Linked DNA regions of Alligator mississippiensis. The protein of the gene in region 2 binds, or shares a complex with, the protein of the main gene of each other region. Links are inferred from orthologs where the notes say so. Each region holds a gene or a part of one and is shown on either strand. Other genes may lie near its edges. The genes, in order: AMH and AMHR2.

What was found.
Region 1: the proteins of AMHR2 (region 2) and AMH are in contact, whole or in part, in a crystal structure (PDB 7L0J), measured with the Homo sapiens proteins. The link is inferred for Alligator mississippiensis from reciprocal best matches to the Homo sapiens genes AMHR2 and AMH. Residues at the interface, in NP_065434.1 of Homo sapiens: Gly31, Val32, Arg33, Gly34, Ser35, Thr36, Thr38, Leu39, Phe62, Ile64, Glu75, Met76, Arg80, Asp81, Ser82, Glu84, Pro85, Ser95, Arg97, Ala98, Pro100, Ser101, Leu106, Thr108; in NP_000470.3 of Homo sapiens: Leu471, Arg472, Glu474, Val477, Leu478, Ile479, Pro480, Glu481, Thr482, Tyr483, Gln484, Lys534, Leu535, Ile537, Leu539, Glu542, Arg543, Ile544, Ser545, Ala546.

What each region holds. Positions count from the first base shown.
Region 1 is NC_081839.1:7,009,537-7,016,710, forward strand, and holds the start of AMH (muellerian-inhibiting factor precursor), read right to left. Parts: upstream 3,008-7,174; 5' UTR 2,841-3,007; coding exon 2,225-2,840; intron 1-2,224. Other genes in the region: SF3A2 (splicing factor 3A subunit 2), read right to left, coding at 5,172-5,504. UniProt on the Homo sapiens protein: Plays an important role in several reproductive functions. Induces Muellerian duct regression during male fetal sexual differentiation. Also plays a role in Leydig cell differentiation and function.
Region 2 is NC_081838.1:8,761,746-8,768,980, reverse strand, and holds the start of AMHR2 (anti-Muellerian hormone type-2 receptor), read left to right. Parts: upstream 1-4,124; 5' UTR 4,125-4,178; coding exon 4,179-4,512; intron 4,513-5,058; coding exon 5,059-5,193; intron 5,194-6,434; coding exon 6,435-6,515; intron 6,516-6,696; coding exon 6,697-6,836; intron 6,837-7,235. UniProt on the Homo sapiens protein: On ligand binding, forms a receptor complex consisting of two type II and two type I transmembrane serine/threonine kinases.

The DNA.
Region 1 (7,174 bases), on a different chromosome or scaffold from region 2:
CAGCGCTCCCCAGGGAACCCTTCACATCTCCTTTTCTACCCGGGAACATAGTCATGCTCACCAAAGGCCCAAACAGCAGCTGACTTTTCTGTGGGATGGAGACCTGAATAGAGACTTGAAGAACTCAAGTCCAAAAATGTTATGCATGGCCAGTGACTGGGGGGGGCTCAGGTGCTGGGTACCACACCTGAGATACCTGGGGCTGACTTTCAGCACTGCTGAGCACCTGTTGCATCCACTGCTGGCAGTTGGATTTGGCAGGACTGAGTGCTTTCAAAACCCAGGCCTAGGGCATCTCATCAGGTCGGGCATCCCAACACCGAGGACAGAATTAGCAGGCACTTTTAAACATTTAAACCAAAAACCCCATCACCCCTGCAGCAAATAAGCAGGAGGCAGGAATCTGGACAACATGGTGGGGGTGCTGCTGCCTGGGGAGAGATCAGCGTCCTAGAAAAGGGCACCAGAGCCAAGCTTAGACTGAGCTGCTCCCAGCTTCAAACCCAGGTGTGATCCAGGGGTTGCAAAACCCACAGCAAATTTGCATAACTACTGATGCTACTTAATAAATGCAAATGAGGAGGCAGCAAAACGGGACAGAGGAATGTGATGTATTCTGCTAAATGACAGGGCATATTTGTTTTTATTTTAAAATTCAAAAATAGTTAGTGCCTGAAGCCATGGGCTGCTGTGTAGGGACCTGGGGAGCTTCCCAGGCATGGATCTTCTTGGATTATTTAGAACAGACATTAAATACAGTTCTGCTGAGGGCAGCGTGCTAGCCCAGCTTCCCGTAACATAGGCCTAAGGGCTTTTTTGTTTGAGAACCTGTATCAAACCATGCCGAAGGACAAAACGGAGAGCTCAGGTGCCACTGACTGGGGCGAGCATTGTGCATCTCTAAAGTCGCTGGGTGGTCTCAAACAGTTTTTAACCAGCTATTTGGGGAACTTAGGCAGGAACCCACAGAACAACCCCCCTAAACTGGGCTGGTCAGCAGTGCACAGGGGCATGTGCCTTGCATTGCAGTCTCAGCAGAAGCCAAACACTCAGCCAGGTTAAAGCCATGCTTGTACTGGAACAACATTGGAACAAACCCAGTAGTCAAATGCCAGATACTCAAATGCAGATGTTTAAATGATGCAATCACTTTGAAAAGGCTCAGGGCTGCCATTTCTCTTCCCTACCCTGCTGCGCAAGGGGTGCAAAGTTCCATCTGCATTGCGTTCACCAGAGCTCCCTGTGGCTTTTACTGCAAAGGAATAACTGCAAGGTTTTGACAAAGACAGACTGCAAGGCAGCAAGCACTCCGATTTCTCCTCAGGAACAGGGTTTGGAGACAGAAATAAGATTAACACCAACAGGAGAAAAAAAGAAGAAAGGGGAACTGTGCTAAGCAACTTGATCTCTCTAGGATTTTACACTCTGCCCTCCAGCACGACCTCTGAACTCCTGTGAACTAATAGCAGGCAAGAGCAGAGCCACTGACTTTCTCCCTTTGTAGCAAACCTCGCCATGAACTACAGCAGCATCCATGCAGAAAAACTAAATCAATCTTTCTGTCCTGTTTTCTCCTCTCTTTTCCCCACATAGAGAACTTTATCTACATGATTGTCTGGGCTTTTACTGATACTATTGGAGGAATAAATGCTGGTGGTCTGTTTTATGCCAGGATGCGACAACAGTTCTTATCTGGGGAGAGGGTGGTAGTGGTGTCCGCTAGCCAACAATGCTAGAAGTTACAACACATACACCCTTGAGAGGTCACCCAGCAGAATTGTAGTTTCCTTAAAGACATGTTGGAAAAAGTCTATTGCATTATAAAAATTAGGCAGGGTAACAGCTTATGGACCAATTCAGAGGCATGAGCTCTCCTAGGCCACAGCAGCTTGCTTTGTCAAAGTAGGCTATGTCAGAGTACTGGTAACATTTAACAAAGTAGTCTGGAGCCTAGGAGAGCTCACACCTCTCCAAACAAGTCTGTAAGATGCCACCTTGTCCCGTCTTCTGCCTAACTTCGGACCAACATGGCTAACTACCCCTCGTTATCAACCACTTAGAGAAGAATCCAGCCCCCAGATGTCTTCTTCCAGCAACATCTTTCTCTCTAGTCTGCAAAGCAACGTTGCCTTGCATTCCTCACCACCCTATCCAAGCACTTCTCTAAGCCTCCGTCACTTCAGGATTTGCTTTATTAAACCCTAGAAGAAAGTGAAGCACGTACCTTCCTCCAGGTGCAGGACCAGAAACTGGTTCTCTCCTGGCTCACTCAAATGAGCACTGATGTGTTTCAGAGACAGGAGTGCAGCAGATGTGTCCCCTGCAGAGCAGAGACCAAAGGTCTCCAGGGGGGCTTCTTCCCAGCCAGCATGTCTCACCAACTTGATGAAGTCACTTTCATAGCTGGTAAGGACACCCATGACTTCCAAGTGACTCTGGCCCAGGCCATCCTTCCTGTCCATTTTCAGCCTGCACACTGGTCCTTCTAGCCCACCCAAAAGCCATGGGTGAAGGCTGGCATTAGGCTGCAGATAGGAGAAGACTCCTTGATCTTCAGTAATGAGCTGGTTGTGTTTTACTACTTTGGAATCCCCTCTTGGCTCACCAGCCTTCAAGAGCAGGTGAGGAGCAACTGTGGCTCTGCCCTTTGAGGCTATGAAGTTTCCTGCTCCTGCATGACTACTCATGTTTTCCTCCTCTCCAAGTCCTAACTCTCTTGCAACAGTACTTTGCAGTTCAGCAGGTGAAAGGCCTTCCCCAAAGCTTCCTATTCTAGGTAGAGCTGTAGAGGGGAACAGCAGCAGCAGGCACTGCAAAACCACCCTAAGCACAGGACCCATGTTCCAGCTTTGAGCAGCTCTGAACTCAGCTGTTAAGAGTTGCCAGAATCCATCTTTTAAACCTTTGTGCAGGACAGGAGGACTCTATCTCCCTTCAGAAGGCAGTGACCTTGAGTTGACAATGCACAACACACCTCCCTTGAGAAATTCAAAGGCCAATGTGCTATAAAGGAGGGAGGGCCAATTCAAAGGAGTCTTTCTATTTTTGGCTTTGCAACCAGTGCTTGGAAATGTTATAAAATTGAAACTGTTTACCTTCTTTTTAGGGATTCATGTCCTTGACTTAAAATGTTTTTAAAGAATGGTATATGTGTGTGTGGGGAGAGGGAAGGGAAGGGAGAAGAGAAGTTTAGATTTGAATTTAATTTGGCACAGCCTCCCTAAGGTTGGAAATACCAAGGGGAATTTGTTAGAGAGAAAGCAGCAGGTACTAAACAGGGACAATGAGAGGAATTAAGAGAAAGTAAATTTGTGTAATCTATAACCTTTCCCTACTGGAGTGTCCCTGGATTAAACTGGCAGCTCCTGTGCTTCCATTTTGCAGGCAGTGTAGAGGGGTCATCTTATGACAACTCCAGTCTTTCACAGCTCCTTCCAAAACGCTCACCTGCTTGGGTCTCAAAATAATTCTTTTCTGCAGGAGAACCAGAAAGGGATTTTTAGAGGGAAGCAATGGAAACATACCTTGATTATTTTAAACTAGACTGGATAAGGTCACAAGAAGCAGTTCTGCAATGGCCTAGAGAGATGAAACACCTTAAATCCATACTTATCACATGCACAGGATTTCTTAATCACTTCTTCTGTTGCCAACAGTAAATATGCTATTTAGGATAGCTAATTCTGGCCATCACACCCATTCCAAGGAAATGTTATGCCTATTTCTTTCCCAAAACAGTGCATCTTTAAAACAAAACATACAGGCAGACTTTTCCTGCTAGCTCACAGGGTTTTGCTGTCAAACTCTACTCATGAGCTGACTACAGTGCACACAATAGCTGGTTTTATCACATGCCTTGAATCCAATGGAGCAAAGGGTTCCTGGATCCAGAATTCTCTACAATGGGCCCTACAAACTATGACTCCAAGCCTTCTCCGGGTAGCTACAAACGATGATGATGCCAAGCTTTGTCCAGGTAGGATATTTTGACTTGACAAAGATAAAACGCAAAGCCTGTTAAGACTCATGGTTCAGGACAGCAGCCAACATCGATTTTTTTTTTTTTATAACTCCAGAAGTCATTATAACATTTAGTTAAATGTTCATTTAAAAGAAGTTCCAGATTGATTTTCTCTGCTTAAAAATTTTACTTTATGCTTACTTTGTCTGCACTTCTGACACACAAGCCATGTGTGATGGAGCCATTGTACTACCTCTGCATTGGACACAAATCAAACATCCTACAGGGCATAAATCTTCTGCCAGCAATTTGCCAATGGTTTATCTACACAAGGAAGCTAATTCAGTTTAAGACAGAGCAGTATTTAAAAGTGCAATAGCTATTCTTAAGTATTTCCCTGCATACATATTCTTATTCCAACCTACTTAATCCACTTCCAAAATGAATTTTGCTCATGCAGATCAAAGTAGATGACCTACGATAAAAGCACGCATGCAGGGAGCTATTCTGGATACCAATCCTAGAGTAACTTCTTGTGTACATAAACCCCTAGATATGCATGGTGGCATCTAGGTAGGAACAAAAACAAGTGCAACTATGCTGCAGGCAATGGGAGTGGATGTTGATCACCCTGGGCAGGACCCATCTTCAGTGAAAACGGTGCAAACATTTGCTACTGAAATGGAGACAACTTCCCATATTTTTGATGGGAGCTGGCCTGCTGCCCACTGATGTGGTGATAGTGGGTATTTATCATGCGACAATGTGGACTGTGAACTATTACCACCTCCAGCTAAATAAAAAATTTATGAGGAAATAAATGTCACTCTGGAGCTCAGGAACTCACATTACTTTAAATTCATGGTTAATTAAATTAAAAGTAGATTTCCAGGTAACTCCAGTCATTTGTCTGCTAACTGGATAAGTTCTGATAAGCTACTAAATATTTCAAGACTGATAATTTTCCTACCTCCTCATTGTGGGGCCTTTAAACAACACTTGTATGAAAACAAAGGCAACAGTTTTACTCAAAAAGAGAAGCATGTATGCAGAAAATAAAGTTGAAAGCCTTTTAATGAACCTACGAGATTTAGGCAAAAACCGCTGGCATATAAAAAGGACAAATATTTATCATCTCTGAGCAGGATGTGGTGTGCAAGTAAAATACACAAATCAAAGAAGTCCACTGAGAGAGTCCAGGAAAAGCTTTTCAGTTGGAAGGAGGTGGAGGGGGAATAGTCCCTGGCCCCTCCGTGGGCAGAGGTGGTCTCATCATTGGTGGCAGAGGAGCAGGAGGAGGTACCCCAGGAGTTGGTGGCAACTGAGGTGGTGCTGGGGGCGGTACAGGCCCAGAGGGAGGCATGGGTGGCAAGGGCATGCCTCCTGGAGGAGGTGGCGGTGGCAGAGAGTCTGGCAAGGGTGGCCTGGGGGGCAAGCCATTCATCAGTGGGGGTGGTGGAGGCCTCTTCACAGTTGGGGGCCCAGGAGGGATACTTTGAGGAGCTGGAGGCTTCTCCATCTTGAAATGGAACTGAAGGAAAAACTAGAGCAAAAAGAGGGAGAGATTAAAAATAAATCACAGGGTGACTGGTCTGCCCACTTCTCTCCTGATGCCTCAAGGAACAACACCAGGGCCACGTCCACATGAACGGGGACGTTTGGTTTCCCAGGGACAAGTAGCAGCAGCACACCTTGTACCACTGCTACTTATCCCCAGGGAGCACCCAAGCCACGTGCACTGTGGTGCGTGGCAGGTTACCCTGGGTGGGGAAGGGAAGGCTGGGCCCAGCAACTGTGCTGCCCCAGCAGCTTTACTTGGGCTCTTGGAGCTGGGAGCCTGGCCAACAGCCAGAGCATGGCTTCAGCTGGCCAGACTCCGGTTTTGGGCAGCACATGCTGCTGCCACGTGTGCTGCCCCACTTTTTTTCCCCCCCACACAGGTTTGTTTTGATCCCTTCGTAGCAGTACAGAGGTCGCAGCACACGGAAAACCTGAATGTGCAGTGTGTGGTGCGGCAGATGGGTTGGCAGCACCACATACCTCACAGCTGCACTCATCTGGACGTGGCCTAGGTGACTGCTTCTGAACCAACATCTGTAGTACATCCTGATCCAGAAGACCAGGTCACTTTTGGACACACTTCTCTAGTCACCAACTATAGAAATGATCCCTAAAAGTATATATTACACACTGCCTCTCCACCCATATTACACACTGCCTCTCTCCACAGCTTTGCACCAATGGTCCCACTTGTCATTCTAAGTCCTCATGCTCTTTCGGCTCAGCACAAATGCCAAGCTGGAAGTGACCAATTTAGCATCCTACACCTATCTGAAAATATGCATGTGCCACGCCATACTGCAGCCCAGAACCTCATGCATATGTATGTCACTGTGCAATAGCTGGCTCTCAGAGGTGTCCCCCAATGATACTAGGAGCAGAACATGATGCTAGGTACTAACCCCTTAGTGCCAGGCTTTGGAAAGTCAGTATATCCCATGTGGCAATATCTGCCTCCAAACCTAGCTTCCAAAATAGAAACAAAACTGGAAAATTCCTCAAGTAGAGCTCTCTCAGCTTCATGTTTTTATTGTTAGTGAACTTACCACTGGTCATGGGAGCTGGCTTGATAGCCCTGCACAATTACATTCTTTATTCTCTACAGTGAACATGGGGAACACAGCTAACTATCTTTCTCTGCAGTTAGCATGTACTGCAGTAGCTGTACAAATTTTCCCCAAAATACATTTCAAACCTCACCTCTAGGGACTTCTGGGGGCACGAACGGAATATAGTCTTACAAAACCATTCAAGTCTCGACCTGCCAACTGGGACTGCAAGCAAGAGGGCTTGCAGAACTGGTGTAAGAAAAGCTGTAAGGGTATGAAGGCCTGTCTTCTGGGAGGAAAGGAAGCTCATTTCATATGTTCCAAAAAGAGTAATTAGACTGTAAATGGAAACATTTCAACACAAGACTAAGAAAAGAAGTCGACCTGCAAAGGTCTTATGCCTGTGAGCCAGTCTCAGGCAAATGGGTTTGTTTAAACTGCTTAGGCCTTAGACTGTCAGTCAAGACGACATCATCGTAAGGCATAAGGCACAACAAAGATTAAAATTCAGGGCTTGATCCTGTAATGGGGCTAGTAATGAGACTTATAATGAGACTTACTGCAGAAGGTGGAGCTTGCAAGTACCAGTACTTGTATGGTGGGA
Region 2 (7,235 bases):
AAGTACTGTGGAGAGGACGAAATGATCAGGGTTCCCTGCTGCGTTCTGTTCTGTCTCTTCCCACCCCGTGATTCTGGTGCTGCAGAGAGGCAGCTTCTCTCCCTTTCCACTATGGTGCCCTTTTCTCCGAGGTCCAGCTCTGCTCCTCTTTTTCCCTTGGATATGATCCAGGTCCCCGGGGCAGGCTGGGGGTGAGTGTTATAGCACACCCTGGCCACTAGGTATTAGCTGGGCTCCGAGCAGAAGGCCAGAAGGGATCGCTGAGGGCCGTGCAGGCTCCAGCATTAGCTTTGCTGTCTTGTGCATTTGCAGGGTGGGGGGGGTTTAACTATTAGCGGAAGGCTGTTCTGCAGCCCTCACCCTGCCCTCTCCCTTTCCACCGGTTTCTGCTGCAGGATCTTAATGCCTTGTCGATCCATTTACCTCCTGCTCTGTGGGCTGCAGTCGGCAGGTGCTGGCCGTGGGCACAGCCCAGCCAAACTGTGAAGTGTCAACATGTTTTACCTAGTGTTTTTTACCTAGCTGCAGGGAGGGAGGGAGGGAGAACTCCTGCTGTACATTTTTCTGGCTGACATCTTTCTGCTCTCTCTCTCTCTCTATTTTTGCATTTGTATATTTTTATAGAGGAAACGTTAAGCATTTGTATTTTTGTACCGATCTGTGAAGCACTATGAATCCCAGACGCAGACCCCTGCCCATGCGTCGGGGCTTTCCGCCTCTTGCCCACCTGGGAAGTTTGCGGGTTCGATAGGAAGCAGTATTTCAACACTGTTTGGTCTCCCTGCCCCGCTGGGCTAGGTCAGCTCCTATGTCTCAGGCAGCTCCTTGAGAGAGCACTACCATCTCCTCCCTGTCGCTGGCCTTGATGTATCCAGGGGGATTTGGAGCACTCTGAGATCCTTGCAGGTTACAACATGGTGCGTGGCTGGTGTTCAGCACCGTTGCCCAGTACGTGCCATCTGGGAGAGCCCGTGTCCCTAGCGAGAGCATGTTGTCCTGCCCCTCGTCCATCCGTCCTAGCTGCTGTCTCACCCCAGCTTGTCAGCGCAGAAGCCTGATGCGTCTGGAAGGGACATGACAGGATTTAGGTGCCAAATTTTTCCCTTGCGGGACTGGGGGATCTGATGAGGAAGGAGTGGACAGTATTGTGCATTTCTCGAGCAAGGCCTGAGAGGGTGAGGCTGTTTGGAGCCCACGGGGTCTCATGGCATCCCAGAAACGCAAGCACTGGAGCCCATGCCCTGTAGGAGGGGGGCTCTGCCCATTGGGGCACCAGAACTGCTGTTGCAGTTTGCCAAGATGTTAATTTTCCTATGGAAACAAACCCAGCAGGAAGGGCCTTGCAGACTTCCTGCTCCCACAACCAGGGCCTGTGCCATGCAAAGCAGCAGCCTCCCGGGCTGTCTGGCCTGAGGTCCAGGGTTTGCTCTTGCTAGCTTCAGAGCAGCAGCTTCCAGCCGAAAGCAGGACACGGGCTCAGCCAGCAGAAGAGATGTTGAGAGCTAGCCTAGTCCATGCCAGGGCCAGCTAATGTGCAGAGCTGAACTACCTGTACATACCCCAGCCTCCAGGGAGCGGGAGCAGGGCAAAGGGACGGGGCTCACCTGGGCCACCAAAGGCTCTAGTGGCTTGAAGGTGCACAGATCCTTTCCCTTGGGACCTCTTTGCCAGTGCTGATTTCTCACGGCTGCAGATAGCACTGGGCTTCTTCCACCTCCTGGCTTGGTTCCCTCTGCTCTTGTTAGCATCACTGTATTAGCTGGCTAGTTCTGTTGGCATTGGCGTGGCTGCAGGCGCCTTGGGCTTGCAGCAGGTGCAAGGCGGCCACATCCCACCCTGGCAAAGATCCAGGGCACCGGTTCCCGTCCATGCCAGGCCTGGGGACCCTTGCCTCGTATCCTCAGTAACAACCCTGGTTTGGGCTGGAGCTGTCTGGGCAGCGATGCGGCAGTTTCCAACTTGGTAGGTGAACCCCGATTCCCCTGCCCTCCCTTTGCTGCCAGGGTCTTGCTCCCCTTAAATTGCACTGTTCCTTCAAGCACACACCAGCCGGCCGCTGCCTGGGGGACCCTGGGCCGGGGCTGTGGGAGCACTGTATAGTCCCTAGCCCGCAGGTGCCTGCGGGATCAAATGTGCCTTTTTTTATACAGGGGCTCCAAGCAGTAAAGCCATGTTCAACCAGGGGTCCCCTTTGCCAATTGGCCTCGTCCCGGGAATATCTTGTTTTTGAAGCAATTTTCGACGCCATAGATGGTTGGGAATGGCCTAGCTTTAATCTCCCCAGAATCCCATTACCCCTTGTTCCCACCACCCGCTGGGGAAAAGGCACGTGTCCACTACTTCTATGCATTACAGAGTGGAGGGGAGAGGGAAGGACCTTGCCGTGGGGCCCTCGAGGAGCCACAGAGACATTTCACCAGTGCCTCCCGCCGCTCACCGCGCTTTCCCTCGGGGCGGGGGTTTCGGTGTTGGGTGCCCATCGCCGCCGCGCGCAACCTTCTGTAACACTGGCAATAATCCTCTGTATCCATGTAAAGACCCTTTTATCTTGTAATGATGTCTCTGTGCTTTTTTTAATCCAATTGCCGATGTAATGATGTCTGAAACACATTTTAAAAGTGCTATTTTTTTTGTACAAAGATTAGATATTAAATGTAGTTTGGCTCCTTTGTAAACGGATGACAATTTTTTTTTTTTTTTAAAGGTAATAAACCAGCGTCTATGGAGTTGTATTCAAATCCAGCATGGCCAGTTTCGTACTTAAGACTGTTTCATTGCTTGTAGGTGGGCGCTTGAGGCCAAGTCCTTGCCTCGGGCACCCGTTTCTTTTCTCGGGTTGCTGCCATAAATGCAGCCCTGCTCCAGCCTTGTTTTACTGCGCTGTCAGAATAGGGGAAAGCAAAGTTACATAAGGGGCCTGTAGGATATTTTTTCCAAGGAGTTCATGGAGTGCTGCCTCTCAATGCAGGTGAGGGCAGGCAAAGGTACGTGTCTCGTGTCTCTCTCCAGAGGTCCTGGCTGCAGAAGCCTGTCTGCCAGCACATGTCCCACTCCTGCTGTCCTCGTCCTGATACCCTCAGCTGTGACGTTGGCACCGTTCTGCAGCCGGTCCCAAAGCCTGTTACAAAAGAGACCGGGTTCCCACTGTCGTGTTACAGCGGAAGAAACTGAGGCACGTGGTGGGGAATTGACTTCAGTGTTAAGAGTCCCAAAGCCAGGAAGGTTCTAAATCACTTGGGGTCTCTTGGAGATTTGCTCCCCTAACCTTAGTCACCAAAGAGCCTTGTGTGCTTGGAGAACCTGCCTCCCTTTCCAAGGGCTGGGAGCTTTGCAGACCCCAGCAGCTTGCACGACCTGGAGAAAATCGTTCACCGAGGGTCTGCAACTAACAGCAGAAGAGATCTCGGGACTCGGAGCCGACGGGCAGTAACCTGGGGGTACCTGCAGGCTGCCACCTGGGTTTTGAGGGGGAGGCTGGGCTCTTCCACATCAGGTGGGAGCTGGAGCCTGGCAAGCTGTATACACACGCATACATGCACAAGCGTATTGGGCAGGATGTGGTGGTCTCCTAAAATCACAGGATTTTAGAGCCAAACTCCTAATTTCGGGGCCAGCTTGGGCTCTCCAAGACTTTGCGGCTGACAGGGCTGTAGGGGCTCGGGGAAGGGTCCAGAGATGAGCGGGTAAAATGCTGGGGGGTCCCTATGTAGAGCCAGGCCCAGCTCCCCCTGAAATGCATGGCTGGCGTAGGGGAGAATGCAGCTGCTTCTGGGGTGGAGCAAATCAATGGCTGCACGTGAGCCCAGGCTGAGGGGAGGCCGATCCTGCTGCAGCTGTGGGGGAGGCTGGACTCTCCCAACGGCGCTGAGGGCCCAGCTTGGGGTAGCCAGGCTTTGGGGAGCTGCTTGCCCCACGGGCGCAGCTCTCTAATCCCGAAGCCATTGGAGCTGGGGAGCATGTGGAGTGGGGTTGCATCTTAGCTGGGACCAGGTGCCCCGGGGTGCGGTACCCCTGTCTGTCCCGTCGCCTGTTTCTCATCCAGCCTCCGGCTGTTGACAGCGTCCCAGCCCCGGCCCCCGCATGCAGCCGGCCAAGTCCTTCCCACCTGTGCCGGCCCCCAGGGAGGGCCAGCGGGCAGCCTGGGGTGGGCTCACATACACACACACGCACGCACACGCATGCTCCAGGTGCCAGGAGACGGAGCACGGGCCACGGCCACCATGGGCTCCGGGGCCACGAGCCTATGGGGGGGGCTGGGGCTGAGCCTGGGCCTGGCAGGTACGGAACAAGACAGACGGCACTTGGGGGGTCTCTCCACCCGGGACCCAGCCCAGCCTCATGTCTCCGCAGGCGTCTTGGGCAGGAGCTGCATCTTTTACGAGCACCCCAGCGTGCGGGGCAGCCTGCGGCACCAGGGCCGCGCGCTGACGGGCACCGAGCCTGGCGCTGTGCAGTGCCTTCAAAGCGAATGCTGCTTCGGCCTCTGGAACCAGAGCCACATCCTCATGCAAGGTGAGGTGCCCAGACACTGGGGTCCAGCATGGTTTGGATGGTGGCAAGACCCTGTGCCAGAGCCCTAAATTCCACCACGGGGAGGAGAGCGGGGTCTGCCTGGTAGGGCAGAGCAGTGGGGCCAGGAGCCCGGACGCCTGGGTCCCTGCCCGTCTGTGGGAGGGGAGCAGTGGTCAAGGACCCCCTCCTGGGTTCTCCTGGGAAAGGAGTAGGGTCCTGTGGGTCTCGTGGAGGAGCAGGGAGCCCAGACTCCTGGGTTCATCCCTAACCTGGCTGTGGGAACTCATGGACAGTGCTGTGGGAAGTGAGGGTTGCTCCAGCTGGAAGGATAAGCCTATCTGCTGGGTGCTCTGGGCTGGCAGCACCCCCCCCCCCCAACTCTGCCAGACCCCCGTGCCCAACGGGAGGCATTTGTGGGCACCAGGCAGTCGGGGTATGAGACCCACGGTGTCTTGGAAGGAGGTGTGGGGGTCTAGGGAGAGCAGAGCTGTGTTTGGGGTGGGGGCGGTGCCTTGACGCCTCGGTCCGTCGGTGTGTCCGGGGCAGGTTGCTGGAGCAGCGACCGGGACGGCTGCGAGGCGGTGGCCTGTGTACCCAGCCCTCGCGCCAACCTGCTGCGCTGCCTCTGCCGTGCTGATCTCTGCAACGCCAACATCAGTGCCCTGGGGGCTGCACCACAGGGTATGTACCCCCCCAGAGCAGAACTGGGGGATCCTCTGTGCACAGGGGCCTGTGAGGGCCTCCTGGACCAGGGCTGGGGGGGCAGGGTTACCCCTGGGGTCATGAGAGCAGCCTGTGCCCCCCCTCCCGGCCCCCACGGCGGGCCTGGGGCTGGGTCCCAGTTGCTATAGAGATCTGGGGGTCTCCCATTCTCACCTCAGGCTGCTCCCCCCCCCACCCCCCAGGAGCACCCAAGGGCCCTAGGCCAGGCCTGGGAGCCCCAAAAATGGGTCCAGAGCCTGGCAGAGCTGGCTCAGAGAGGGGCTGGGGCAGGGGTCCCTCGTAAAGACGAGAGCTCCATGTAGGGGGCCGGGGCCGGCTGGGGTCACAGGAGGCTCTGGGCAGGGATGTGGGGGTCAGCCAAGCAGAGGTGCAAGAGAGGGGGCTGGCTTGGGCTTATTTGTCTGGGGGGGCCTCCAGGCCCTGCCAACCCCCCACCCTTCGCCTTCATGCCCCCCACAGCCCTCAGCAGGCCCCTCTGCCCTGCCGGGATGGAGCAGCCCCCTCGCAGGTGCAGCCCCCGCCTGTCCCGTGGGGGAGTCTGCGTCTGAGCTCTGGGCCCAGCTGCTGAGACCTTGGAGTGGGCGCCAGGCGGAGGGGCCTCGGCCAGCCTGATAAACCCGTAGGAGCCGGGACTGTGGCGCTCACACAGCCCCGCCTGGCCCGAGGAGCCCCCTGCCACGGGGCCCCGGCGGGTCTGGCCGGACACTTGGGTTCTCTTCCCGGTTCTTGCAGGTTGGGGAGGTCTGGACACCTGGCTAGTTTCCAGGGCAGCTTTCACCTGGTCCAGCTGGACCCCAGGGGATGATGGCTGTCCCCCAGGGGGGTAGCTCTGCAGGCTTGCAGCCTGGGCCAGCCCAGGAGGGGTTGATTTTCCCCCGTTTTTTGCCTGCCTCCTGGGCACTAAACCTGCTTCTACCTCTGGCCCCCACCCTGAGACACCCCTGCCCCCCTGCCTTCTCTCCACTGGAGTCCAGGCCCCACTGCCTGCCTCCCAAGACTCTGGATGAGAACCAGATGTCCTGACTCCTAGCCCCTGCCCGTCCCTACCCGCTGACCCTCAAGCTGCCCTGTCTGCAAGAAGGAGTGGGGGGGATGTCTCAGAGGGCCCCCAGCCACGGCTCGGGGGAGCCATGCTTATGCCACGGGCCATGGCTGCTGGGGGCCGTGCCTCTCTGCACCCCTCTCCCTGCCTCCCGCAGCGTCCTCGGCCTCCACTCCCTCCGGGCCCCTGTGCATCGCGGGCGCTGTCCTGCTCTTCCTGGGCTGCCTGGCCCTCCTAGGTACACCTGGCCTGGGCGAGTGGGGTGCCAGCCCTGCCCTGGGTTGGGGGGGTGGCACAGGGGCGTGGGGCACTGGGGGGTGCCACAGGGGCGCGGGGCAGTGGTTGCAACCCTGGCTGGGGTGCTGTGGCTCTCCGGCCCCATGGTGCTGGGGATCCTGGTGACCTGTGTCTCCCCTCAGGGCTGTGGCGAGTGAAGGTCTGCTCCATGCTGCTGAGCTGCCGGGCCCGGGGGAAGCATGCCAAGGGGGTCCCGGGCCCCAGCTCTGCCCTCCCCAGGGACCCCCCCAGCCAGGAGCTGCCAGCGCTTCACTTCCTACAGGTCTGGGCTGGGATGGGTTGCCACCGGGGGCTGCCCCTGGGCATCTGTCCCCCTCCTCCCCTGGCACCAGTGGGATGGAGGGGGAAGCAGGGCCTTGGCCAGGTCAAGCCGGTTTATAGGCCAGTACTGCCCTAGCCTGGCCCCAGTGCTGTGAGCTTCCTCACAGCAGTGCCCTAGCCTACACCCCTGGCATGGTGAGGTTCACCACAGCAATGCCCCAGCCGGGCCCCTAGTGCTGCAAGTTTCCCCCCAGCAGTGCCCTGGACTGGCCCCCAGCGCTGTGAGCTTCCCCATAGCAGTTCCCTGACTTACACCCTGGCTCTGGGAGCTTCCCCTACAGCAGTGCCCTGTCCTGGCCCCTAGTGCTGTGAGCTTCCCCTCCCTCAGCAGTGTCCTGGC